5 linked regions of the Callithrix jacchus genome follow. The protein of the gene in region 1 binds, or shares a complex with, the protein of each later gene. Links are inferred from orthologs where the notes say so. Each region holds a gene or a part of one and is shown in the gene's direction. Other genes may lie near its edges.

What was found. Proteins that work in one complex are often made in the same cells at the same time.
Region 2: MED21 (region 1) and MED13 share a complex: the UniProt entries of both Homo sapiens proteins name them as parts of the mediator complex. The link is inferred for Callithrix jacchus from reciprocal best matches to the Homo sapiens genes MED21 and MED13.
Region 3: MED21 (region 1) and MED4 share a complex: the UniProt entries of both Homo sapiens proteins name them as parts of the mediator complex. The link is inferred for Callithrix jacchus from reciprocal best matches to the Homo sapiens genes MED21 and MED4.
Region 4: MED21 (region 1) and CCNC share a complex: the UniProt entries of both Homo sapiens proteins name them as parts of the mediator complex. The link is inferred for Callithrix jacchus from reciprocal best matches to the Homo sapiens genes MED21 and CCNC.
Region 5: MED21 (region 1) and MED31 share a complex: the UniProt entries of both Homo sapiens proteins name them as parts of the mediator complex. The link is inferred for Callithrix jacchus from reciprocal best matches to the Homo sapiens genes MED21 and MED31.

The regions. Positions count from the first base shown.
Region 1 is NC_133510.1:44,216,686-44,222,267, reverse strand, and holds the end of MED21 (mediator of RNA polymerase II transcription subunit 21), read left to right. Parts: intron 1-1,437; coding exon 1,438-1,552; intron 1,553-1,822; coding exon 1,823-1,923; intron 1,924-2,789; coding exon 2,790-2,966; 3' UTR 2,967-4,205; downstream 4,206-5,582. UniProt on the Homo sapiens protein: Component of the Mediator complex, a coactivator involved in the regulated transcription of nearly all RNA polymerase II-dependent genes.
Region 2 is NC_133506.1:94,834,663-94,839,765, forward strand, and holds part of MED13 (mediator of RNA polymerase II transcription subunit 13), read left to right. Parts: intron 1-50; coding exon 51-274; intron 275-2,317; coding exon 2,318-2,507; intron 2,508-3,461; coding exon 3,462-3,924; intron 3,925-5,103. UniProt on the Homo sapiens protein: Component of the Mediator complex, a coactivator involved in the regulated transcription of nearly all RNA polymerase II-dependent genes.
Region 3 is NC_133502.1:67,860,813-67,865,240, forward strand, and holds the end of MED4 (mediator of RNA polymerase II transcription subunit 4), read left to right. Parts: intron 1-2,220; coding exon 2,221-2,393; 3' UTR 2,394-3,129; downstream 3,130-4,428. UniProt on the Homo sapiens protein: Component of the Mediator complex, a coactivator involved in the regulated transcription of nearly all RNA polymerase II-dependent genes.
Region 4 is NC_133505.1:105,603,685-105,608,787, reverse strand, and holds part of CCNC (cyclin-C), read left to right. Parts: intron 1-3,651; coding exon 3,652-3,758; intron 3,759-4,897; coding exon 4,898-4,982; intron 4,983-5,103. UniProt on the Homo sapiens protein: Component of the Mediator complex, a coactivator involved in regulated gene transcription of nearly all RNA polymerase II-dependent genes.
Region 5 is NC_133506.1:108,206,084-108,211,285, reverse strand, and holds the end of MED31 (mediator of RNA polymerase II transcription subunit 31), read left to right. Parts: intron 1-3,516; coding exon 3,517-3,709; 3' UTR 3,710-3,903; downstream 3,904-5,202. UniProt on the Homo sapiens protein: Component of the Mediator complex, a coactivator involved in the regulated transcription of nearly all RNA polymerase II-dependent genes.

The DNA.
Region 1 (5,582 bases):
TACTCCTTCAGGAGGTTAAAAAATGTATATTCAGGAGACATTTAAGTGATGGAAAAACAGTTTGTGATTAGGGAGTTACAATGAATTGAGTGTTTTCAACTGCAGGTTCTGAAGTAAATTGGAATATGGAGTGATGTGAACCAAAATAGGGAGAATCTTCTTAAGCATTTATTCTAATCATAATTAATTATTTGTATAACTTTTAACAGTTGTTCTACCCTCTGAAAACTGAGTGCAGAAGCTATGTCTCATTTACTATGTGTTTATATACAATACTTGTCATAGTTATTTTCCATAAATTTTTGTTGACTAAATGGATCTTAAGAGCTTTTGAAGAATGGAACAGATAACCACTGTGTTGAATATTTTTGTGTCTTGTCTGTTCCTCACAACAATGTTGTAATATGAGAATGTATCCAATTTAAAAATGATAAATGCTACTTGAGTTAATAGAACTAGGATTAGGATCTAGACTTGTATAGCAGCTGAGCGCTTATTGCTCCATTACAATTAGCAAAACCTGGACAAAGCCATTTAGTCATGAGTGACTTTATAACTAGGTAAATATGAAGGAGTAGTGGAAAACAAGACAGAGGAAAAGAGAAAGATTAGAAGTATTAGTAGAATTTGAAGATCAAAGGAAAGTAAGAATCTGTGGTTAGACTGGTTGACTTAGAGACTGTCAATACAAATTAAACAGAGAAAACAGTTGCCTTTGAGTTCTGTAATTGAACAATGGCAGAGAAACCCAGTGCAAATGCTTATTAGAAATAGGAGGTTTGAGAGGTCAAGACTAGGTGAGAGAAATTGGTGGGGAGGATAGGCGTTTTTAATTTGGAGATGATAAGGAATTGCTGTTCTCAATCTTTAGAAGTACTTAAGGAGTACTTTTAGCGCACAAGAGTTTAAAACTTGAGTCTTGAACAAATATGTTTCTGATTACTTAAGGTGCTTTTCTGAGCAGCCTTTTCCCCACTATTTCTTTATGCTTGTAACTACTCCAGTTTCAGAAAAGGAATTATATACTTTGTACATGAATAATAAATTTTCATTTGACGCAATGCCATAGGTAGATATTTGCAAGTCAGATTTCCATCACTGCTCTTTTCCATCACTGTTCCCCAAAAGTCTTTACTTTTGGCTTATAATAAATATTGGCTAGTGTTCTCTTACCATTTTACTATCAAAAGAAAAGAAATATTATTTTTATTTCAACTGTTTCAACTGGGTTGATACCAAACTTAGTTTCTTTGCAGAATTAAAATGTTTAATTAACGTTATTAGTAACTGGCTTATTTTATCAGCAATTATTCCTTTCTGTTTTATTCCCTTACTCAGAGATTATGATTAAAGAAATTTATTGTTGTTGCTGTTATCAATAAAGTCCTTAAAATTGATAAGTCCTTCCTAACCTTGACATGTTTTCTTTGGCCTAAGCTTGCAGATCAGTTTTGTAATGCCATTGGAGTATTGCAGCAGTGTGGTCCTCCTGCGTCTTTTAGTAATATTCAGACAGCAATTAACAAAGACCAGCCAGCTAATCCTACAGAAGGTAAACTGGTTTTCTTAGCTTCTCTTTGACTCTCACATTTATTGTAATCCTTTCAAATTAGATTTATTGAGCAATTCGGCTTATTTTGTTTCCAAAAATTATGCTTAATTCCCAATTTGAGCTAAATGTGTAATAGGATTTGTGTATATTTTAATCATTAGAATCCTAGTGCAGAAAAAGCTATGTGAAGTTTCCAGTTTCACTAACTTAAAATTTGTTCTGAAAACTTGAGGTTTTCTAATGACCTGATCTAGCATTATCTTTCTCTAGAGTATGCCCAGCTTTTTGCAGCACTGATTGCACGAACAGCAAAAGACATTGATGTTTTGATAGATTCCCTACCCAGTGAAGAGTCTACAGCTGCTTTACAGGTAAGTCTTTATTCCTTTGAGAATTTTACCAGTAATAGAGAATTTTGAATTAAAGGAGCAAGGTTTAATACCTTTTGTCTGTGTCCATTTGTGCTGCTGTAACAGAATACCTGAGACAATAATTTATAAAGAACAGAAATTTATTTTCTCACAGTTTCTGTAGGCTGGGAGGTCCAAGATCAAGACATTTATTACTCATTGTGCATGAGTAAGACATTTTTATTTAACACAGTGCTATGTTTAGGGCCATGTTTAAGGCCATGTTGAGGGCCTTCTTTCTATTTCCTCACATGGCAGAAGGCAGAAGGACAAAAGAGCAAGAATTCCCTCTTCAACCTCAAGCCATTTTATGAGGGCACTAATTCTATGAGAGCTTTGCCTTCATGACTTAATATCCTCTTAAAGGCCCTTTCCTTCTTAATACCTTCACATTGGGGATTAGATTTTAACGTATGAATTTTGGAGGGGACACATAACGTATGAATTTTGGAGGGGACACATTCAAATCATAGCACCTTTTGTTATAATATTCAATTTTCCATTATAAGGAAACCTCTTATTTCCTCAATTGTGTCTCTTTTCCTAGTGAAGAATGAGAGGAGGGTGGCATTCTAGATGTGGAGTAGAACAATGGTGCCCAAATGTAGTGTGGAAGGGAGTCACTTACAGATATCTAGAGATTTCTAATTGAAAATTCATTCTTTTTAATAATTCAAATGAGGAAAATTCTTAGAAGTTATCTGATTTTTAGAATTTCTTTGCTGAAAAACACAATAATTGCAAAGTCATCCAGATTTAAAAATAAGTACCTCTGTGACAGCTTCCCTCGTTAACTCTAAAGATTTCAAAATTTCTGTCTTATAAAGGCTGCTAGCTTATATAAGCTAGAAGAAGAAAACCATGAAGCTGCTACATGTCTGGAAGATGTTGTTTATCGAGGAGACATGCTTCTGGAAAAGATACAAAGTGCGCTTGCTGATATTGCACAGTCACAGCTGAAGACAAGAAGTGGTACCCATAGCCAGTCTATTCCAGACTCGTAGCACCAGTGGATACCATGTGGCTGAGAAAAGAACTGTTTCAGTGCCATTAAGAATTCTGCATCAGACTTAGATAACAAGCCTTACCAACAGTTACAGAAGCATTCAACACTATGACACATGTTCCCTTTTTAGCTATTTTTAATAGTCTTCTGTTTTCACTCGTGATAAATAAGCTTATAAAATAATGATTGAACCAGCTTTAAACCGTCATACCATCATTTTTTAACTGAAATTATTAAGGCAGATGATGCATTAATAAACATAAGTAAACATATATAAAATTCTATTGTGACATGATTCATGTCTTTATTTTGTTGTCTTGGCCAGTACTTTTACAAATCAAAACATTTCTCAAGCCAGAGAAGAAGGTAGTAAGAACAGACATAAGGGACATTTTAGTTTAGGCTAGCATCCTGCCTCTTAGAGGTGGCATTGTGTAAATTTGAGCTTTGAGCAAGAAAGTTTTGGAAATTGTATTGCTTTTAAATAGAGTTAGTGTGGCTGGATAAGTAAGTCACATTTATGCAAATGTTTCTTCTTTCAGAACTTCATACCTGTTCTAGTTCATCTACACATTCTACCAAGAAATCCTCTGTCAGAATTTTCCTGCTATTGTGAAAGAATTCACCTTGTATTTTTCATCCTTCTCCTTAATTTGCTTGCATCACAGTGAAGTATGTTTTTGAATCGTCAGTTCTTTCTCAGTCTCTTTATTTATCTAAAGTTTCTTTCTTTTGCCCTTTATTAATCTCTCAACTTTTATTGCTGTATTCTAGTCAGACCCGAACATACTTTCAATACATCAGTTACTGGGCTCTATTTCACCTCAAGTTATTATTGCTAACATTTGTATCAGCATTTTCAACTATGGTTACTCATCCAACCCTTGGATCTCTTTTAGTCTAGTGATTTTCTCCACTGGAAAGGTGGAATTAAAATGTATTCACATTTTAACTGGCCATTTCCTTGGGCTATATTTTTCAGAATATCCTGAGCTACATTTGCTGTAATCTTGCTATTCAGAGTTTAAGTTTCCAGAGAAACCAAAAATACAACACTGCCTGTTATTTTTGTCATAATCAAGCTTTTCCACAGTTCTTGAAAAGTACTGTGTTTCAAATTTCAGGAACACCAGTGTTAGCTATAAAATTCGTAACAGTTTATTGGCTTGTCACAGAAAGTTTTTGAACTTTTAACTGTATTTTCATTGATGTTTATTAAAAACATTTTGCTATCACAGTTATTGTCCATAAATCTGTACTCTTCATTGTAGTTTTTGGAGGAGAGAAGATTTGATCAGAAAACTGATTTTCAAAGTACTTAAGTGTTATAAAGGAGTCAAGAAGGTACAAATAGAAAATGTCAGGCCGGGCATGGTGGCTCATGCCTATAATCCCAGGACTTTGGGAGGCTGAGGCGCGTGAATCAGGAGGTCAAGAGATCTAGACCATCCTGGTCAACAAGGTGAAACCCTGTCTCTACTAAAAATACAAAAAATTAGCTGGGCATGGTGGCGTGCGCCTATAGTCCCAGCTACTCAGGAGGCTGAGGCAGGAGAATTGCCTGAACCCAGGAGGCAGAGGTTGTGGTGAGCCGAGATCGAGCCATTGCACTCCAGCCTGGGTAATGAGCGAAACTCCGTCTCAAAAAATTTCACAACCTCTCAGAATAAAACATAATAAAATAGTAACCCTAAATTTTATTTTATTAATACATTGATAATTAAATGTTAATGATCTAAGCTGATTTAAATCTCAAAACTGGATAAGAAGCTGTGGCTCTTATAAGGAAAGACTTTTATTCATTAGACCTATAATTTGGTTTCTTCATATGTAAATTAAGAAGAGTTTAATAACCTGCTTCTGTATTTCAGTTCTAGGGGCACCAGTTCAGTTAACTAGCCCTAAAGATGTCTGTAAGTGAAACCATTTTGATTACTACTTGCTCTGCTGTCAATTATCGTAACCAATCTCTGTTTCTGGATGCTAAATCCTTTCACTTGTGCCTTAACCATCCTAACTCCCATAATCTCCATTGAATTTAAGGAACCAGTTTCTTTTTTTTGAGATGGAGTTTTGCTCTTGTTCAGGCTGGAGTGCAGTGGTGTGATCTTGGCTCACTGCAAACCCCGCCTCCTGGGTTCAAGCGATTCTCCTGCCTCAGCCTCCCGAGTAGCTGGGATTACAGGTATGCGCCACCACACCCCACTAATTTTGTATTTTAAGTAGAGATGGTGTTCTCCACATTGGTCAGGCTGATCTCGAAAGCTCGACCTCAGGTGATCTGCCTGCCTCAGCCTCCCAAACTGCTGAGATTACAAGCATGAGCCACCATGCCCAGGAGTCAATTTCAGTGGGAGTATCTTTTACTATCATTCTTAACCTATGATAATAGCCAGTAGAGCCTTTCAGGAATGATAGTATCTCCCCTCACCAATGACTTTTTAAAAAGCCTAATGAAGAGAGTGTCCTCTGGATCTTTCCAGAGAAGATAGGATGTGAGTAAGTTATGTATAATAATTTCACCCCAGAATTTCTATGTCCTTGATACTATTCTCTGTAAACCAAGGAAGGATACTCTGGCATTTCACTTTGATTTAATGTAAGTAAACCTTGT
Region 2 (5,103 bases), on another chromosome or scaffold:
AGACATGTCTTGTTTTTAAGTGTTTCTTAAAATACATCTCTCTTATTTAGGAACTGATGAATCCCCAGAACCACTGCCAATCCCCACATTTTTGTTGGGTTATGATTATGATTATCTGGTGCTTTCTCCATTTGCTCTTCCTTATTGGGAGAGACTTATGCTGGAACCCTATGGATCTCAAAGAGATATAGCCTATGTTGTACTGTGTCCAGAGAATGAAGCCTTGTTAAATGGAGCCAAAAGCTTTTTTAGAGATCTTACTGCAATATATGAGGTAGGTGTTTAAAAAGAGATGACATTTTAAAACTACCTTATGATTTGTATTGATATATATATGTATATATATAGCATATATATATATATATATATATATATATGCTATATATATACAGCATACTGGTAAATTTAGTTGATTGGGACACAGTGATGATGTCAAATTAGATGTTTATTTCTCATACTAGCCAGTTACATTCTTTGCTGAGTTTGACCCAGTTTGTTAGATGTGTATGTTGTGGGTCAGAGTGGCTATACCCCTATTGGAGGAAGAAACATTGAGGGCATATAGATATATATCCCATTTAATGTGACCTTTTCTAAAACAAAGGGTAACAATGGTAAATAGCCAGGAAAAAAATTACATTTATAAAAATTCTAGTCTTTATTCTCTAGAATTTCAGGTAGTGACACTAGACCTCACTTTTCTCATATGCAAAATAAATTTGGCCAGGCACAGTGGCTCACACTTATAATCCCAGCACTTTGGGAGGCCGAGATGGGCAGATCTCCTGAGGTCAGGAGTTTGAGACCAGCCTGACCAATATGGAGAAACCCCGTCTCTACTAAAAATACATAATTAGCCAGGCATGGTGGTGCATGTCCATAATCCCAGCTACTTGGGAGGCTGAGTCAGGAGAATCGCTTGAACCTCGGAGGCAGAAGTTGCGGTGAGCCAAGGCCACGCCATTGCACTTCAGCCTGGGCAACAAGAGTGAAACTCCGTTAAATATAAATAAATAAATAAAAATTTTTTAAAATCTATGCTAGTTGTCTCTAAGGTCCATTTCAGGTCTGAAATTCTTGCTTATTCTTTTAAGTTATAATTCTCACGTATCCATCACCAGGCATAATAATTGTAAATTGTTAAGTGTTATGGTACATAAAATCTTACTTTATTATTCCCTCCTTTTCCCACAAAGGCTTTGAAATTTAGTCTTTAAATTTTGATGCATTTTACACTCCGAATGTTAGTATATGCTAGTTTAGCTTCCTTATAAAATTTTCCACATAATTACAAGGTCTCTGTAGTATGTTTTTAATAAATAAACATTTCCCAAAGGGTGTTATTCGGAACATTAGTCTGGTTAAATTCTCTCAGAGGCTGGGCGCAGTGGCTCATGCCTGTAATCCCAGCATTTTGGGAGACCGTGGCAGGTGGATCATCTGAGGTCAGAACTAGTCTGACCAATATGGTGAATCCCCATCTGTACTAAAAAATATAAAAATTAGTGGAGTGTGGTAGCGGGTGCCTGTAATCCCAGCTACTTGGGAGCCTGAAGCAGGAGAATCACTTGAACCCAGGAAGCAGAGGTTGCAGTGAGCCAAGATCATGCCATTGCACTCCAGCCTAGGTGACAGAGCAAGACTTTGCCTAAAAAAAAAAAAAAAATTCTCTCAGAAAAAAAGTTCAAAGGCTTGGGGAGACATTGTATATTATATTACCTTTTAGAGAGTCATAATTCATATTAGATTATTAAAGGTTTTGAAATTCTTACAGTAAAAAAGTCTTCTAAATTTGCTTAATCCAATGTTACAAATTTATCAGACCATTAGCTTCCTATAACAAAAATCAGTGGCTCATAGAACTAGAGGGAGAGAGTATATAAATATATTTATATACCAATTTTTATTTTGCTTTGATTTAGGGATATGTGTATTTATAATACATGAATTAGAGTCAATGTATACCTAAAATGACTGCATTTTTGTGCTCCTTTATTTCTGCATTCTGCAAGCTTTTATTATTCAAACCAAATGGTTCTAGTGTTATCTAGTTGTTTTTTCATTAGAGATATTTTAATTTTGAAAAAAATTTAATGAATTTCTAATGTAAAAATGAAAAAGACCTATAGTACTATTTCTCCTTTGATATGTTTATTTTTTTGCCCTACTTCTAGAAACACCCTTGATATTTTTATCACAACTGTGAATGGCAAATGGTTAAGCTTATTTTAAATAGCTTTCATGCTTGGTTTTATAATATGTATCTAAAATACTATAAAAAATTTACTAATTCTGCTTTCTGTATGTATATTTGTAGTCCTGTCGATTAGGTCAACATAGACCTATTTCTCGACTGTTAACAGATGGGATCATGAGAGTTGGATCTACTGCATCAAAGAAACTATCAGAAAAGTTGGTAGCAGAATGGTTTTCTCAGGCAGCTGATGGTAACAATGAAGCATTTTCTAAACTCAAGCTTTATGCACAAGTCTGCAGATACGATCTAGGTATTGAGTTTGTATTTACTGTATAAGGCTAGCATTGGCAATGTGTGGCCTGGTTCACCAGCTGTTTTTGTAGATAAAATTTTATTGGAACACAACCATCCTCATTTATTTATGTATTTTCTCTGGCTGCTTTTGCGCTACAACATTGGAGCTTAGTAGTTGTGATAGAGTCTATGTGGCTGTAAAGACAAAAATACTATTATATGACCCTTTGCAGAAAAAGTTTGCTGATCCCTAATGAGGGATCTGATCAGGTATGAAGAAATTGTGGGTTATAAACAAATATTCTGTTGCTTCTGTAGGGTCTGATGGTTTATTAACATTAAGATTGTTGATTTGTTACAGTTTAAAGATAAAATAATGTATAGTTAATCTGTACAAAACCAAGAAATAGTTCTTTGTTACGCTAAGAAAATGACAGCTATTTAAGACTTGCTGATTATACTTTTTTCTTTCATTCTACCCATGTGCAACTGTATTGCTTATAAATACTCTTGAAATAAATATCAGTGGACTTCCTTTAGACTTAATCCAAGGAGATACAGAACCAAACTATTGAATCTCATTAGACATTCCAATAATTTGAACCCCATAATAACATTATACCATTTTATATTTTTATTAGCTCCCAATGTAGTCAATATTTATTTGATTTGTGATTTAGAAACCCTTTGAATAGTTTGATGAATATTTCTAGATAGCTTTTCTAGCAAATTCTAAGAATTTGTTAAACTTTCATTTCTTTAATTTTGAGTGAAAATTCCATTTTACATATGTTTCTTCAGTTTCTAAGGGAAAATAGAAAGTAAGTATAGATTATACCATTAACAAGCAATTCAGATGCTATAATTACCAAGAAAATATCAACTTGATTATTTTATTTACAAAGTACAATAAAAAAAAAAAAGTCAGTGAAATAAAGAATTAAATTTCCTACCTGTTTTTATCCTTTAGGTCCTTATCTTGCTTCTCTGCCATTGGACAGCTCTCTACTTTCCCAGCCAAATTTAGTTGCCCCTACAAGTCAGTCTTTGATTACTCCACCTCAGATGGCAAATACTGGAAATGCTAATACTCCATCTGCCACCTTAGCATCTGCAGCGAGCACTACTATGACAATGACTTCAGGTGTTGCCATATCTACTTCAGTTGCCACAGCTAATTCAACTTTGACTACAGCTTCAACTTCATCTTCATCATCCTCCAACTTGAATAGTGGAGTATCATCAAATAAACTACCTTCATTTCCACCCTTTGGCAGTATGAACAGTAATGCTGCAGGATCCATGTCTACACAAGCAAATACAGTTCAGAGTGGTCAGCTAGGAGGGCAACAGCCATCAGCTCTACAGACAGCTGGGATTTCTGGAGAGTCATCTTCACTTCCCATTCAGCCACATCCTGATGTGTCTGAAAGGTACCTTTAAAAATACTGATTCTTGCAGAAATATAAAAAAACTATGATGCTTCTTTTTTTCTTTTTTGAGACAAAGTCTCATTCTTTCACCCAGGTTAGAGTACAGTGGTGGGATCTCCACTCATTGCAACCTCTGACTCCCAGGTTCGAGCAATTCTCCTGCCTCAGCCTCCCAAGTAGCTGGAATTGCAGTCATGCGCCACCACGCCTGGCTAATTTTTGTATTTTTAGTAGAGACGGGGTTTTATTTTGTTGCCCAGGCTGGTCTGGAATCCTTGGACTCAGCGATCTGCTTTCCTCAGCCTCCCAAAGTGTTGGGATTACAGGCATGAGCCACCACACCTGGCCTAGTGTTGAATATTTTATGTATAAAATTGTAATGTAGATTCTTCATAAAGTCTTCATCATAGAATTCTAGAATCAGAGGGTGGGAATTAAGAACTTGTAAACTGTATAGTCCAATACCATATGACATTTGAGTCTTCTGTGGCATAACTGTCAAGTAGATTTGCCTGTGCGATTCACTCTAGTGATTGAGAAGTCACTATTGAGCCAGTCTGTTCAATAGTGAGTCCTATTAAAGTTTGAATCTCAGCTCTGCTCTACCGTTTACCTGCTTTGTGACTTAGAGGAAGCTCTAATTTTCTGAGCTTGTTTTCTTATCTGTAAACTGAGAGTAATATGATACAGTATACATTAAGTACTTTACAGTGATTCCAATTTATTTATAGTGACAAGAATGATTATGACAGCTCTCCTTTTATGACAAAGGTTTTTTGTGAGCTTTCCTTTTGATTTATAGGCTAGGTTGGCTAGAGCTTAATTATATCTGTCAGCTACCCAGGATGTAGTTGTGCTCAAAAGTACAATCATATAGGGGTCAAAACAAATTATTACCCAGATTGATTTACCCATCTTGAACATCTGAATAGATCTGAAGTTTAAAAAAAATTAAATCACCCATCAGAGAATGAAATTTGTTCATTTAAGTTATGAAGTATGAAATAAATGTATATAAACTAAAAATGGGACCAGGTAAAGTGGCTCATGCCAGTAATCCTAGCACTTTGAGAAGCCAAGGCAGGAGGATTGCTTGAGACCAAGAGTTCAAGACCAACCTGGTCAACATAGTGAGACCCTATCTCAAAAAATCAGAATAGAAAATACCTATAATCTAAA
Region 3 (4,428 bases), on another chromosome or scaffold:
TAACCCCAAGTGATCGCCCGCCTCGGCCTCCCAAAGTGCTGGAATTGCAGGTGTGAGCCAATGTACTCGGCTCTCAGACCCAGTTCACTGTAGTAGCTAGATTATTTGCCAGTTTATTCTGCTCTCTAAAGATTCTCCTCGAGGGAAGTATGAAATTAGAGCAAGCTACCTCTCTTATTTGTAAATATTACACTGTCTTCCTCAAGCATTTGGCTTTTGTTTTTAAATTATTGCTCTAAACATAGCTTCTTTATCATTGTGAAACATGCTATGTAAACAGAGTAAGATAGTTTACAGAATAAAGCGAACACACTCCTGAACAACCCCTAAGTTAACAAAATAACAATAGCTTTTTATAAACTTTTAAAACTTCATAAAATAGTATTTCTGTGAGACCCAGTTCATTCTGAGCTTCAGTTTTCCTCAAGTTTTTCATAGGTTTGTGCTGTTTTTATATATATTTTATATTAGTCCTCATCTTTTATAGTTTGTAGGTGACTTTGTTTTGATGTGGTAGAACATTTGGGAAGTAGAAAAAGGCATTTAAAAAAGGAAAAAAACCCTGCCCTTTCTGAGGCAGTCACTTTAAATATTTAGCTTGTTTTCTTTTTTCCCTGTACATTATTTGCTTAATGTTACATCATAAGGCTGTTCCTATGTCATTAATAATGTTTTGTATGCATCATTTCTGTTACCTACCTAAAATACAAACTGGGGAATTCACTGTGATATCTTTGGATATCATCTCTTGTTTCTCATTTCTTGGAAGTACAGGAAAAACAGGTATGGGGAGTCACTGCTACATTTTGGACCAAGGAAGGGACAGACCTAAAAATGGTCCTCCCCAGCCCCATCCCAAAGCTATTCAAATCATGGTGCTGTCATTGGAGAGGGTGTAGTGTAGTTGTGGCCCACTCTGGCAGAGAAGTTAGATGAGGCATCAGAGGCCAGAGCTGGCAAGCAGGAACTTACCCACTAGGGTTCCAGGGAGACTTGCTGGGAAGCTGCCCTTTGGGATTGTGGTGAAACCTGCTAGGAAACCACCTTTAGGGACGCCACTGAAAGTTGCTGTGATGAATACCTCTTAATGTTCTGCACACCAACCAGGCATCACAGCAGTAAAGGAAAAAAACACCCGATCCAGGAAGTCAAGCTTATTTGCCTGTGGAGTCTCACCTGTGCCCTCTACTGACAAAACTTAATTGTGGCAGCTGGCAAAGGAGAAATGGTTTCAGGGGCCAGAGAAAAGGGTAGATTTGAAGCTAACTGGCATGCCTTTCTAGTTAACACCGTAACTTTGTTTTGACAATTTAAAAATCTGCCTTTGAGTCTTAAAAATCTTTCTTTGAGTCTTGAACTATACCTGTTTATGTGCTCTGTTTCTTTGCTTCAGAAATACAGACTTTTAATGTGAATTGGGCACTTTTTTGTAAGGTATTTTATATGCATATGTTGGAAATCAGCCTCTCTTTGATGAGAGCCATTTACAATAGCAATTCCTCTATTAAGAAATCATTCAAACCTAGTATAATAATACTAAATGAAGTACCTATTACCTGTTTATAATATGTAGAATAATCTACATAACCTAGTATACATAATTATGTATTATATATTCATATAATGGATACACAGATAAAGGAAACATTTGTAATTGTAAATGTCTTACAAAAGAAAAATCATGTCAACTGACTATTTGAATAATTTCTTACAGAGTAGTATGATTTTAAAAAAAGGTTCCCAATTGCTAAAATATGATACTTTATCTTGATGAATTTGATTTTTACTAATTTGGCCAAATGTGTATTTTTTTTTCTAGTCTTAAAATAATTGGCACAATAGCTTATGCCTGTAATCCCAACACTTTGGGAGGCTGAGGTAGGAGGATAGCTTGAGCGCAGGAGTTGGAGACCAGCCTGGGTAACATAGTGAGACCTCATCGCTACAAAAACTTTAAAAAGTAGCCAAACATGGTGGCACGTACCTATAGCCCAGCTACTCAGGAGGCTGAGGCAGGAGGACTTCTTGAGCCTAGGTTAGGGGTACAGTAAGCTGTGTTCATGCCATTTCACTCGAGCCTGGGTGATCCTGTCTCAAAAAAAGAAGAGAAAAAAGTAACATTAAAAAATATATGTACTTCAAATTGTATAAAGGGAAAAGTTAGTACTAGATTAATTACGAATAGAGCTGTTCTTATCTGTGCTTCCTTTTTTCTTCCAGATGTCCTTGCTCCTCAGTATCCATGGCAGTCAAATGACATGGCAATGAATATGTTACCACCAAATCATAGTAGTGACTTTTTGTTGGAACCTCCTGGGCATAATAAAGAAAATGAAGACGATGTAGAGATTATGTCAACGGACTCCTCAAGCAGTAGTAGTGAGTCTGATTAAAAAACTGTAAAAGACAATATACAGAATTGAATAGTGTCAAATTCTGTTTCTTTAACAGTAGCAGGGGAAGATAAACTACAGATGGCAAAGAATAGCCAGGTAAACACTGGCTTTGGTAGAATTGTGCAGCCATTAGAAGTCAAAATGAGCTTTCTTTTTGAGGCCAAAGATTATAGTTTTAGTGTTAAGCCCCTCGGAAGATATTTAGGGGAATAGTCAAAATTTACTGTTGAAAAGAAAAAGCAGTTGCTAAGTGCTATTTACCATGTTCTATTCCAGTTGTGCTGGATTTGTCACCTTCCTCTTCTTGCAGTTTCCCAGAAGTCACTTTTAACCACTTTTAATTTCTGGTGGTTAACCTCTATGTTTAAGTAATAAGCTTATACAACTATTTCTTGATGTATGAGTTTTAGACAATGTATCTTTTTTCTGATTTCAAAGGTAATACAACATATCAAACATTTAATGAATACAGTAAAGCACAAAGGAAATAGAGTTGAGGGAAATGATCCATGTATGTATCACTCATAGGCTTCCTGGAATTATTTAGAAAAGCATTTTTAAACTGGCAGTGGATAACTAAATAGGGATCATATTTTTGTGTGTCATTTAAAAATGACAAAAACTTATTTGACAGTAAAGGCTCTTGGCTTCTGTTGGAGGAATGGGAAATTGTCTCAATTTGTACAGTTTGTAATTATTGTAATTTTTATAAATAAATTTACTTTTATTTGTACTTTGTATGCTATGCTTTTTTTTAAGTTTAAATATGGTATCAGTATAGGTAGGAAATTATTTCTGTAAATCCAGCTGCATTTTATAATACTTGAGTGACTAATTAAATTGAAACCTAGTACAATGAATAGGTTTTTCAAAGGCCCACATTCCTATTAGATGAAATATTTTTTTTAATAATTGAAAAAATTTGCCACAGTCTTGTCTGATTTTAAGAATAGGTTGCATAAAAAGATTTAAATGCAAAGCAACCATTTCTTCCCTTCACCTTCCTCTTCTTGCAGTTTCCCAGAGGGAGTCACTTTTTTTTTTTTTTATTGTACTTTAGGTTCTGGGGTACATGTGCAGATTATGCAGGATTGTTGCATAGGTACATACATGGCAAGATGGTTTGCTGCCTTCATCCCCCTATCACCTATATCTGGTATTTCTCCCCTCGTTATCCCTCCCCACCCCACACTGTCCCTCCCCTATCCCTCCCAACTGACCGCAATGTGTGATGCTCCCCTCCCTGTGTCCACATATTCTAATTGTTCAACACCCACCTATAAGTGATAATGTGGTGTTTGGTTTTCTGTTCTTGTGTCAGTTTGCTGAGAATGATGGTTTCCAGTTTCATCCATGTCTGTATGAAGGACACGAACTCATTGTTTTTTATGGCTGTGGTATATATGTGCCACATTTTCTTTATCCAGTCTATTGTTGATGGACATTTGGGTTGGTTCTAGGTCTTTGCGAGTGTAAACAGTGCCACAGTGAACATATGTGTGCATGTGTCTTTGTAATAGAAAAATTTATAATTCTTTAGGTATATACCCAGTAATGGGATTGCTGGGTCAAATGGTATTTCTATTTCTAGGTCCTTGAGGAATCGCCACACTGTCTTCCACAATGGTTGCACTAATTTGCACTCCCACCAACAATGGAAAGTGTTCCTATTTCTCCACATCCTTTCCAGCATCTGTTGTCTCCAGATATTTTAATGATTGCCATTCTAACTGGCATGAGATGGTATCTCAATGTGCTTTTGATTTGCATTCATCTAATGACTGGTGATGATGAGCATTTTTTATATGTTTATTGGCCTCATAGACATCTTCTTTTGTAAAGTGTCTGTTCATATCCTTTGCCCACTTTTGAATGGGTTTTTTTTTTTTTTTTTTCTTATAAATGTGTTTTCGTTCTTTGTAGATTCTGGATATTAGCCCTTTGTCAGATGGGTAGATTGCAAAATTTTTTCACATTCTTTTTGGTTACTGGTTTGCTCTAATGATTGTTTCCTTTGCTGTACAGAATCTCT
Region 4 (5,103 bases), on another chromosome or scaffold:
AAATCAATATCCTGAATAACTGAGAGATAATAGAAATATTCTATTTAAGAATATTAAAAAGGAAACATGAAATAAACTTAAAGAAACAGAAAGAAGGACTTTAAATAGATAACACTGATGCTAACCTATTAAAAGGAAAAAAGTTTGTTTTTTTTTTTGAGACAAAGTTTCACTCTGTCCCCAGGCTGGAGTGCAGTGGCGCAATCTCATCTCACTGCAACCTCCACCTCCCAGGTTTTATCAATTCTCCTGCCTCAGCCTCCTGAGTAGCTGGGACTACAAGCTTCTGCTACCACACCCGGCTAATTTTTTTATTTTTAGTAGAGAAGAGTAAATAAACTCAGGGGTACTTTTGGGTTATCTTCACTACTTTAAATTTGAAAGCCAAAGCAAGTTAAGAATATTACCCAAGATCTATGCCTTATTTCATGGGTCAATACTTTCCATCTTTCAGGAGACTCTCCTTTTGAAATTGTTCCATTTCATACAGAAAGAAGAAAGGCTTTCTAATCCTCTTTATGAAGCCATGAAAACACCTAGAGAAAAATCTAGCAAAGGGAACACTAAAAACAGTTTCACTTTTTAATATTGATGTCAACATTGTAAATGAATTATTACCAAATGCAGTCTAATGTTACATTGAAATTATAAAACATGACAGTGGATTTTATTATAGAAATACAGTCAGTACTAAGAAATCTATTAAACATTGAAGGCATTAAAAAACTAATACAATTCAACGTTTATCCTTGACTAAAGCTCTTACTAAAACAGAAATAGGATGCTTCCTTAACATGAAAAACATGTCAAAGCATCAGCAGTGGTAAAACATTGGGATAATTAGGGTGCCTATTTAAGATTTTCCCAATATACTAGTCAATACAGTTGATACAAATGAGATATAGAAAGAATGACAAAAGAATAACAAAATTATCAATATGTGGAAATAAAATTTATGAGAAAACTCAGTTAATTGAAAAGTTATTCAAAATAATAAAAGTTTAATCAGGTGACCAGTTACAAAATGCAAAAATAAAAGCTTTTTAAAAATGAATGGGCTGGTCGTGGTGGCTCACGCCTATAATCCCAGCACTTTGGGAGGCCGAGGCGGGTGAATCACGAGGTCAAGAGATCGAGACCATCCTGGTCAACAAGGTGAAACCCCATCTCCACTAAAAATACAAAAATTAGCTGGGCATGGTGGTACACACCTGTAGTCCCAGGTACTTAGGAGGCTGAGGCAGGAGAATTGCTTTAACCCAGGAGGCACGGAGGTTGCGGTGAGCTGAGATCGTGCCATTGCATTCCAGTCTGGGTAACAACAGCGAAACTCCGTCTCAAAAAAAAAAAAAAAAAAAAAAGACTGATAGGAAAGTATAATTTACATTAGCAACGGAAAATATAAAATACAAAGGGAAAAATATGAGGAAATATACAGAAGCTGTAGGAAGAAAACTTTAAAACATTGTGGCACGTAGAGATTTCAATAGACTTTGAATTCTCGGTAAGATGTCATTTCTCCCTATGTTGATCTTTAAATGTAATTCAGTCACAAAATTTGAATGGATATTCTTTGTTAGGACTTGACATAATGCTTCTAAAGTTTAGGTCTCAGAATAACAATTGCAATAGGATAGTCAGAAAATTTCAGAAGAATAGTAGCAAGGGAGTATTTTTCATACCAGCAATTACTTACTTAAGTTTCTGTGTTTTAAAATAGCACAGCATATGAACAAGAAAAACAAAAATAGGAAATTATATATAATGATAGAACTATAAATCAGGATATACCTTAGCACATTTGGATAATCATTTGACAAAATGTTTAGCTGGATCCTTACTTTATACTCTGTACCAAAATTCCAGATGGATCATATAAATTGAAGGAAAAAAGCCCCTAAGGGTATTAGAAAACATGGGTGAATAGTTTTTTATCATTTTGGAATCAGGGAAGGACTTTTTATGCCTGACAAACATGAAAGTAAAAGACAGGTAGATTTAAGTAAGTAATTCAGCTTTCTCTATTATAAATAATTAAATACTGAGAGATATTTAAACTTGGGAGAAATTTTACAGTTATTTGACAAGCAAATGACTTATCCATACTATACAAATTTTATATCAAAAGACTCTCTTAATCATTAAAAAAATAAGTAATCACATTAGAAAAATGGTCCTATTAGAATTAACATTGTATAAAAGAAGAACTGCATTTGAACAGTGAAGATATGGAAAAGATGTTTAACCTCAAAAGTTAACTACAGGGGAAAGAAACAGTGATATACTACTTTGCCTTTAAGTTACAAAGTATTTAAAATTGGCAGTAACCAATAGGATTAAATATTTTAGGATTCACTCATAAACTGTTAATAGAAATGGAAATCAGTATAATGTTTTTGGAGGGTAAACTGACAATGTGTGTCAATAAGTTACCAGCAACACTGACCCATTAATTCGACTTCTGGGAAGTTATTTCAAATATATTATTAATCAAATGGGCAAGGAAAATTACAATGATATTTATTAAAGTATATTTGTAACAGAGAAAAAATGATAACCTATATTTCCATCAGTAAAGATTGGCTAAGTGATCCATCCATAAAGTTATGTAAAAGAATGCTGAATAACAAGTTCCTTGACATAAGACTTCCAATAAGTATTGAATGACAAGGTTCAGCATAGTTTTTTCTTTGAGTCATGTCAATTTCATATCTCCAGTTAAAAATAGTACACTCGACTAAGCAAGAGGAGGAGGCTATCAGTGTAACACATTCTGAGGCAGTTTTTAATATAATTAGATTTGTGAAATAAGGAAATTAAATGCCATAGTTACTTATGAACAGCTGAAAAACTATATACTTCAAACGTAAGCCACCATCAATTGGTGCCAAATAATTCTACCATTATCTTATATCACTAAGAAAGAATAAACATGCTGCCAAGCGGGGCATGATGGCTCACGCTTGTAATCCCTGCACTTTGGGAGGCTGAGGCAGGCGGATCCCCTGAGGTTGGGAGTTTGAGACTAGCCTGACCAACATAGAGAAACCCCCATCTCTACTAAAAAATACAAAAATAGGGGTCCAAAGGGGCTCCTGCCGGAGGTCGTGACGCTTGCGAAGGCGAGGTCATGAGTTCAAGGCTAACCGGAGCAACCTCATAAGCTCAAATTGATTGGCCAAAAAAAAAAAAAATAGCTGGGCTTGGTGGTGCACACCTGTAATCTCCGCTACTCGGGAGGCCGAGGCAGGAGAATCACTTAAACCCAGGAGACGGAGGTTGCAGTGAGTGGTGATCGTGCCATTACACTCCTGCCTGGACAAAAAGAGCGAAACTCTGTTCAAAAACAAACAAAAAAACATGCTGCCAATTACAACACAAAGGCATCACAGATTGTAAGACATATTTTGGTATCAGAGTCTTAGAATCAATGAAATATAAGTTTGTAACAGAAAGACTAAGGAGGAAGAAGGAAAAGATTAGAGCAAGTTTTTTCAGTACATATTTACATTTATTAGTGAGATATTATTCACCTAATTGACTTTAAGGTTACTTTTTGCACTTTGTGCTTCTCAGAATATGAACAACCTGTTCAATCAGAGTGTTTTCTCTGACTTTGCTTGTTGATTTTCTGTAACATGTCTTTTCTAGTTTGCAATGGATTTTGGATAAACAAGATCTGTTGAAGGAGCGCCAAAAGGATTTAAAGTTTCTCTCGGAAGAAGAATATTGGAAGTTACAAATATTTTTTACAAATGGTAAACTTTTTAAGAAATTGGTTAAAATGTTATAGTTGATTACCTCTGAATTAAAATGTTTTTGTGTGGTAATTTGTGAGCTATTTTAGTCCATACCTAACATTTTTATTTATACATGTATTTTTTTTTTTTACAACTTTTTAGTGATCTAAATAAAGATTTTTTGGTGTGAATTTTACATGTCACAGGCACTCAAGACAATTTGAAAGTATTACCTAATCTCCCTCAGGCTTTATAATAATTATTAGATGCAGTTCAAGGTTGGCTAAAGCAAAGTACTTTGACTTTGAGGATAAATGAGTCTTTGGATTGACATCCTATAGTGGACATTTCTATCTTAGAACTTTGTTTTGAAGGGAAGAAGATTTAGGGATAGGTCTTTGCTTTGTAGTAAGTCTGTCATAATTTTTTTTAACCTTCATTTCACTGTTTTGTAAACATTTCTCTGTTTTGAGGATTTATTATGGATTTTTTTTTTTCTTGGTGAACTGTATAAAGTGGTAGTATTAGCTGGGTGTGGTGGCTCACACCTGTAATCTTAGCACTTCGGGATTCATAGATGGACAGACCACTTGAGGCCAGGGGATACAAGACCAGCCCGGCCAACATAGTAAAACCCCTCTCTACTAAAGATACAAAAATTAGCTGGGCATGGTGAGGCACAAGAGTCACTTGAACCCGGGAGGTAGAGGTTGCAGTGAGCCAAGATCGTACCACTGCAGTCCAGCCTGGGCAACAGAATATCTGTCTCAAAACAACAAAAAAAGTGGTAGTATTAACAAGTTTCATAGGCATCTAATATTTTCTTTTTATATTTATTATAAAGATAATATGAAAGGCATTAAAAATATTTAGAAGATAGAGGGAAAATACTTACTCAACTTCCTTAATGCATGAATAATATTTTGCTGTGGGGCAATTTCTATTTTGTTGTTGTCGTTTATGCACTCCTATTTATTTCTTAACACATTTACAAATCCTTGTATTAGACCACTGTGGCTCATATAGAGCATGCACATGTTTTTTCCTTTGTTAAAAATTAATATAATTATGATTTAACCACATGGAAGTTACTGTTCAATGTTAATATTATAATGATCCCAGAAGATACATTTAAAATATCATTATTTTCCCTTTAGTTATCCAGGCATTAGGTGAACATCTTAAATTAAGACAACAAGTTATTGCCACTGCTACAGTATATTTCAAGAGATTCTATGCCAGGTAGGATTATTTTTATTTTATTTATTTGAACTCTTATCTAATATGGATGAACCTTAGCACAGTGTAAATGAATCATGTGTCTGCCATAGAGTTATCTTGATTTTTTTTTCCCAGTGTGCTT
Region 5 (5,202 bases), on another chromosome or scaffold:
TGTTTTAAGCAGGTAGTCAGAAAGCAGTAGTGAACTTTTTTTTTTAAGACAAAAATTTGAGAGGAAATGTTTCAAATTTGTCTTGAAGTCACTTTTCTGTATGCAGTAACAGTTGACTCATGAAGCATATACATCTTGTGTTGCCTGCAGGACCGTTTGTATCTTTTCTGGCTTTTTATCCATTTAATAATCCAAAGAAAAGACTTTTAAAAAAGTATATTTCAACAAATGTTGTATGTATGTAGATTTACAGACTCTGTGTTGGAAGCCTTAGCCATCCGTAAGTTTAATTTTATCCATAGTGTTGCTGAGAGATGGTCATCTACACTCCGTTTGGAAGTTTCCATTGATCCCATGTGACTCTGTCAAGGACAGCTGATTCGATTGTTAGCCAGAAGTTATAAAGTTCTTCCTTATATTGTGATATAATATACTTCCTTGTAGCTTCAATCTGTCCCTGGATTAAGCTAGAACCATTCTATACCCTCTTGGGGACAACAGCCTTTTAGATATTTACATTCAAGAGAGATTGCAAATTAGCCCATTTTGGGCATTTTATTTAGTCTGCCCAAGATTTTAGTTTTTTTTTTTAATGCTTGCCAATATTTAAAGATCAGAAAGTTTTATTTAATAAATGCAGATTTCCAGCAACTCTTTAAAATCTGGAAGATTTAGCAACCATAGATCTTAATTCTTCCAATCAACAACTGGCTGATGCTGAGAGCAGCTGCCACTACTAGCTGCTTTCCACCTGGTGGAAGAGACTTTCTACCACTTGGCTTGGTTCATTGCTAACCAGTAGCTGCCACTATAACACCTCTCTTATGTCTCTTTTTCTCAACTCCCTTCAGCCATTGTGCCATGGTGCCCAGACTTCTCATGAATTCAGGTTCCCTCCTTTGGATATTTGGCAGTTGTACCTTATGCAGTTCAGCCAAGAACTAAACACAGGCCTTCAGATGTGGTCAGAGTACAGTGGGTCAGAGGTTCTTTCTTTTCTTTATGTGGACATACACCTCTATTAATTAAACTTAACGTTTATATTACTCTTGGGGTGGGGTGGGGAGAGGATCACATTGTTGACTTGCTGGGTGCATTAATGTCAACTGAAATCCTTCAGTTCTTACTTTCATCAATGCTGTTGGGTTCTCCCTATCTTGTTTATTTTTTAAAACACCAAATGCAGAACTTTCCTTTTCTACTGCTTCTGTTTCATCTTGTTGACTTGTAGCCTATCCAGAGTATGATTCTTTATTGTCGTCTAATACATTCTGATATAAACGCTGCCTGTCTAAATTCTAGTTATTGACCAAATGCTATTTGAGACTTGGTTGTCACATTATTTTACAGCTGAAGAAGCTAGCTGAACTTTAGAGAGGTTAAGTACCTTGTTAAAGGCTACCAGGCTGGACCTTAAATCCTGGTCCTTTTAACTACTGGTGCTGTCATGAAAGGGAATTAGCCAGGGCAGGTGTGAATAGAGCATTCTAGCATAAGCAGCCAGCAATTAGAGCAATTGTGTACTTTTAGTGTGTAGATAGCAAACCTTTACTGCCTTGGAAGTTACTCTCTTCGAAGCATGGTACTAAGCCCTCTATTCAGTGTGGTGTTCAGATCAGTAGCATTGGTTGCATTTGGGAGATTTTTAGAAATGCAGAGCTCATGCCCCACTGCAGACCTAAGGAGTCAGTCTGCATTTTAAGAAGTGATTCATACACACATTAAAGTTTGAGAAGCATTGCTCTAGCATCCTATTTTCCAAACTAGTCATTTGCATATCACTTCTACAACTTTGGCTTTATCTGCATACTTCCTATATTTCAATGTATTTTGTCTCTTTTAAATGCTTTTATATATTTTCAACTTGAAATAATTTTACTTACAAAATACCTGAAAAAATAATAAAGAGAATTCTTGTATTTTCTTCATCCAGATATTCCAGATGTTTAACAATACAATCAGCAAAAATCAGAACATTAATATGAATTTATTACCTAATCTACAGAGGTCAGATTTTGCCAGTTGTCCAGCTGGTGTGCTGTATGCAGTACAGGATCCAGTCTAGGCCTGCATGTTGCATTTATTGTCATGTTTTCTTAGTCTCCTTTAATCTCAGTGGTCTTTTCTTTGCCATGACTATGACAGAAATGATTTTGTATCTGTCATATATCTACAGTCACATGAAGTCTATTTGTTCCACAACTGGTGATATTAATTTTGATAACTTGGTTGAGGGTGGTACCTTCTAGGTTTCTCCATATCAAGTTACTATTTTTCCTTGTATATTTAAAATGTATCTTATGGGGAAATCCTTTGAGACTATGTAAATATATTACATATATTTTTGCCCATTAATTTTAGCATCATTTGAAGATACTTGCTTTTGAGGAAACAGTTTTCATTGTGATTTTCTAAATCTTTCATTCTCCATTTATTAGTTTGGAATTCGATTGTAGGGAAGTACTTTTTCTTGTTTTTTATTTATTCTTTTATTAAAGAAATTTGCATCCATTTAGTATGGACTTTTGGATTCTTATTTTTATTCTGTGAATTTTAATTATGTATTTTCAAGCTCTGAGTATTCCAGATTTGGCCATTAGGAGTCCCTTCAAGTTGGCTCCTGAATACTTTTGATCCTCCCAAGAATTTTTAGCACTTTTTCTTCTAGCATTACGTAATGTTCCAGGCTCATCTTGTCCTTTCCCTGTCTTATCCCTGAATCAGACTTTTCTCCAAGGAAACCTGCTCCTTGGAAACGGGGCACTGTGTGTTCATTAGTACCACAGTGTCATTGCTTCTAGGCCCTCTCAGTACACAAAGCTCAAGAACTCTATATATGTATGTATGTGTATACATGCACACACATATATATCTGTCTATGTCTCTATATATTAAAAGCCCTAAGTACATGTTGTTTTCAATACCAGCTCGGTAACACAGGGTTCGTTCTAGCCTTTTTCCTTTACTTGTCTATAAGTCCTTTTCTGGTAGCCAGAAATTTGGCTCTCCATATCCACAGTATATTTACTTGTCCAATCCTAGAGTATACCTAATTTCAGAATTGGTATACCCCTGTGGACAAGAGTACAACGTATATGCATAGTCCTCTTTCAAACTGAAATTGTGTTTTTATCACTATTGATGGAAAAACCAGTAACTATCAATTAAACACATAATTACTAAAATATGTTCATGTTCTTCACCTTGGAAAGCACTAGAAGGGAATAGCATGGTTTGTCCCTAAATTTTCACTCTGCTTACCAGTTACTGTGTTCTGTAGTCTTGAGCAAGTTAATTTAATCTTTCTGAACTTAAACCTTCTCACTTGAAAATTTTGCTGAACACTGACTTTTGATGACTATGCAGGGGAAAAACCCTATGCTACTAGAGTGTACTAAGTTAATGTTATAGAAATGGTAGGCTACAAGATCATTTTTAAGAGAATAACTGAATTAGACCTTGGCATTATTTACTACTTAAATTATGTTGTTCATTCACTTATAAACTTAAACCCAGGTACCCTCAGTGTTTACACATGTTAGAGCTGCTCCAGTATGAACACTTCCGAAAGGAGCTGGTGAATGCCCAGTGTGCGAAATTTATTGATGAACAGCAGATTCTACACTGGCAGCACTATTCCCGGAAGCGGATGCGCCTTCAGCAAGCCTTGGCAGAGCAGCAACAGCAAAATAACACATCGGGGAAATGAAAAACTGGATACAGACGAGGCTCTGAAGATATATATATATATATATATATATAAAAAATGTATTTCTTATGTACAGTGAAGACAAAAAAAATGAAAACTCTTCCTATCTAGCTTTATTATGGTAGCATCTAGAACTGTTAGTATGCTTTTTAATCAAACTAACTTTTTATTGTTAATAGACTATCACTGTTAAACCTGAAGTGTTCTACTTTGATTTCCATATGGATTTTAAGGTGTTTCTTTTTTAAGCATTTAGTATAATCAGCTGATTAATAATGGAAAAGTTAGGTGCTTTAGACCAAATAAAGAAGGCATTGGGGCATGGGGTAGGGGTGGGTCACTAAGTATACTGAATTCTAAGGCTAGCTCTTCCTGACATATAGTAGGGCAAGGCCATCTCCTGGAACCTGTTTCTCAGATCAACTACTCTACCACTCTTACCTATGTAGTGAGAGTAGCGGAGTCAGTGACTTGTTTAAATCACCAGGAAGGAACTACATAAAGGTTCTTAAATTCTGCAGGAAAGGAAATACCTGTATACATGTTTTGCAGGGTGGCTTTAAGAATCACTGTGACCTCGCTTGACCTAATCACGGCACAACAACTAGTGGTTAATTACTAATTGGTCTCTTGACTTTAGAACAAAGATGAGGAGCCTCAAATACTTGTGCTCACTTGGGAAAGCGAACACTGAATTGGGGGGGTACCACAAACCAGGTGCTATGTTAAGTGCTTCCTTGAATTCTCAGAACCTTGTTTATAAAAGACAAAACTGTGGTTTGGATAGGGTGACTAACTTAACTTGCCTATGGTTACACAGCTAGTAAGTGGTAGAATCAGTGTGACTGACTCCCAGGTTGGAGTTCTTCCCACCACTAGGTGATATAGTCTCTCTAGCCCCTCTCTGCCACCTGCCTCATCCCAAGTAAAGCATGTTGAGTTAGCTGTAAAACGAACTGCCTCTAGTGCTCAGGAGTCTGTTTTTTAATAAATGAAACAAAACTGCCTTAATTAAACAGGCTGGATTAGAGGTACTGTGCTTCCCTTCAGTGGTGAGGTTAGGTTCTACAATCCAAAATCAAAGAAGGGGTTTCAGAAATACCAGTTGCTTTGCAGATGCACAGAATTTAAAAAATCCTGATCTTTTTAGAGATTTGGAAGGTGTCCTCTGTACCTTTTTAGGGGCTTTTAGGCATTTCTGTCACTTTCAATAATACATTCCTTTGAGCTCTTACTGCTACTTCTAAAGATATATTACAGGCAAACTACAGGTTCATGGGCATTTTAATAGCAGTTTAAATGCCAGTTTTTTTTTTTTTTTAACATTTATTGCTAATATGAATTCAAAGCACATATACAGTTTATTGATACTAAAATCAGGAAATCATGGGCATTTTAATAGCAGTTTTAAATGCCAGTTTTTTTAACATTTATTGCTAATATGAATTCCAAGCACGTATACAGTTTATTGATACTAAAATCAGGAAATCAAG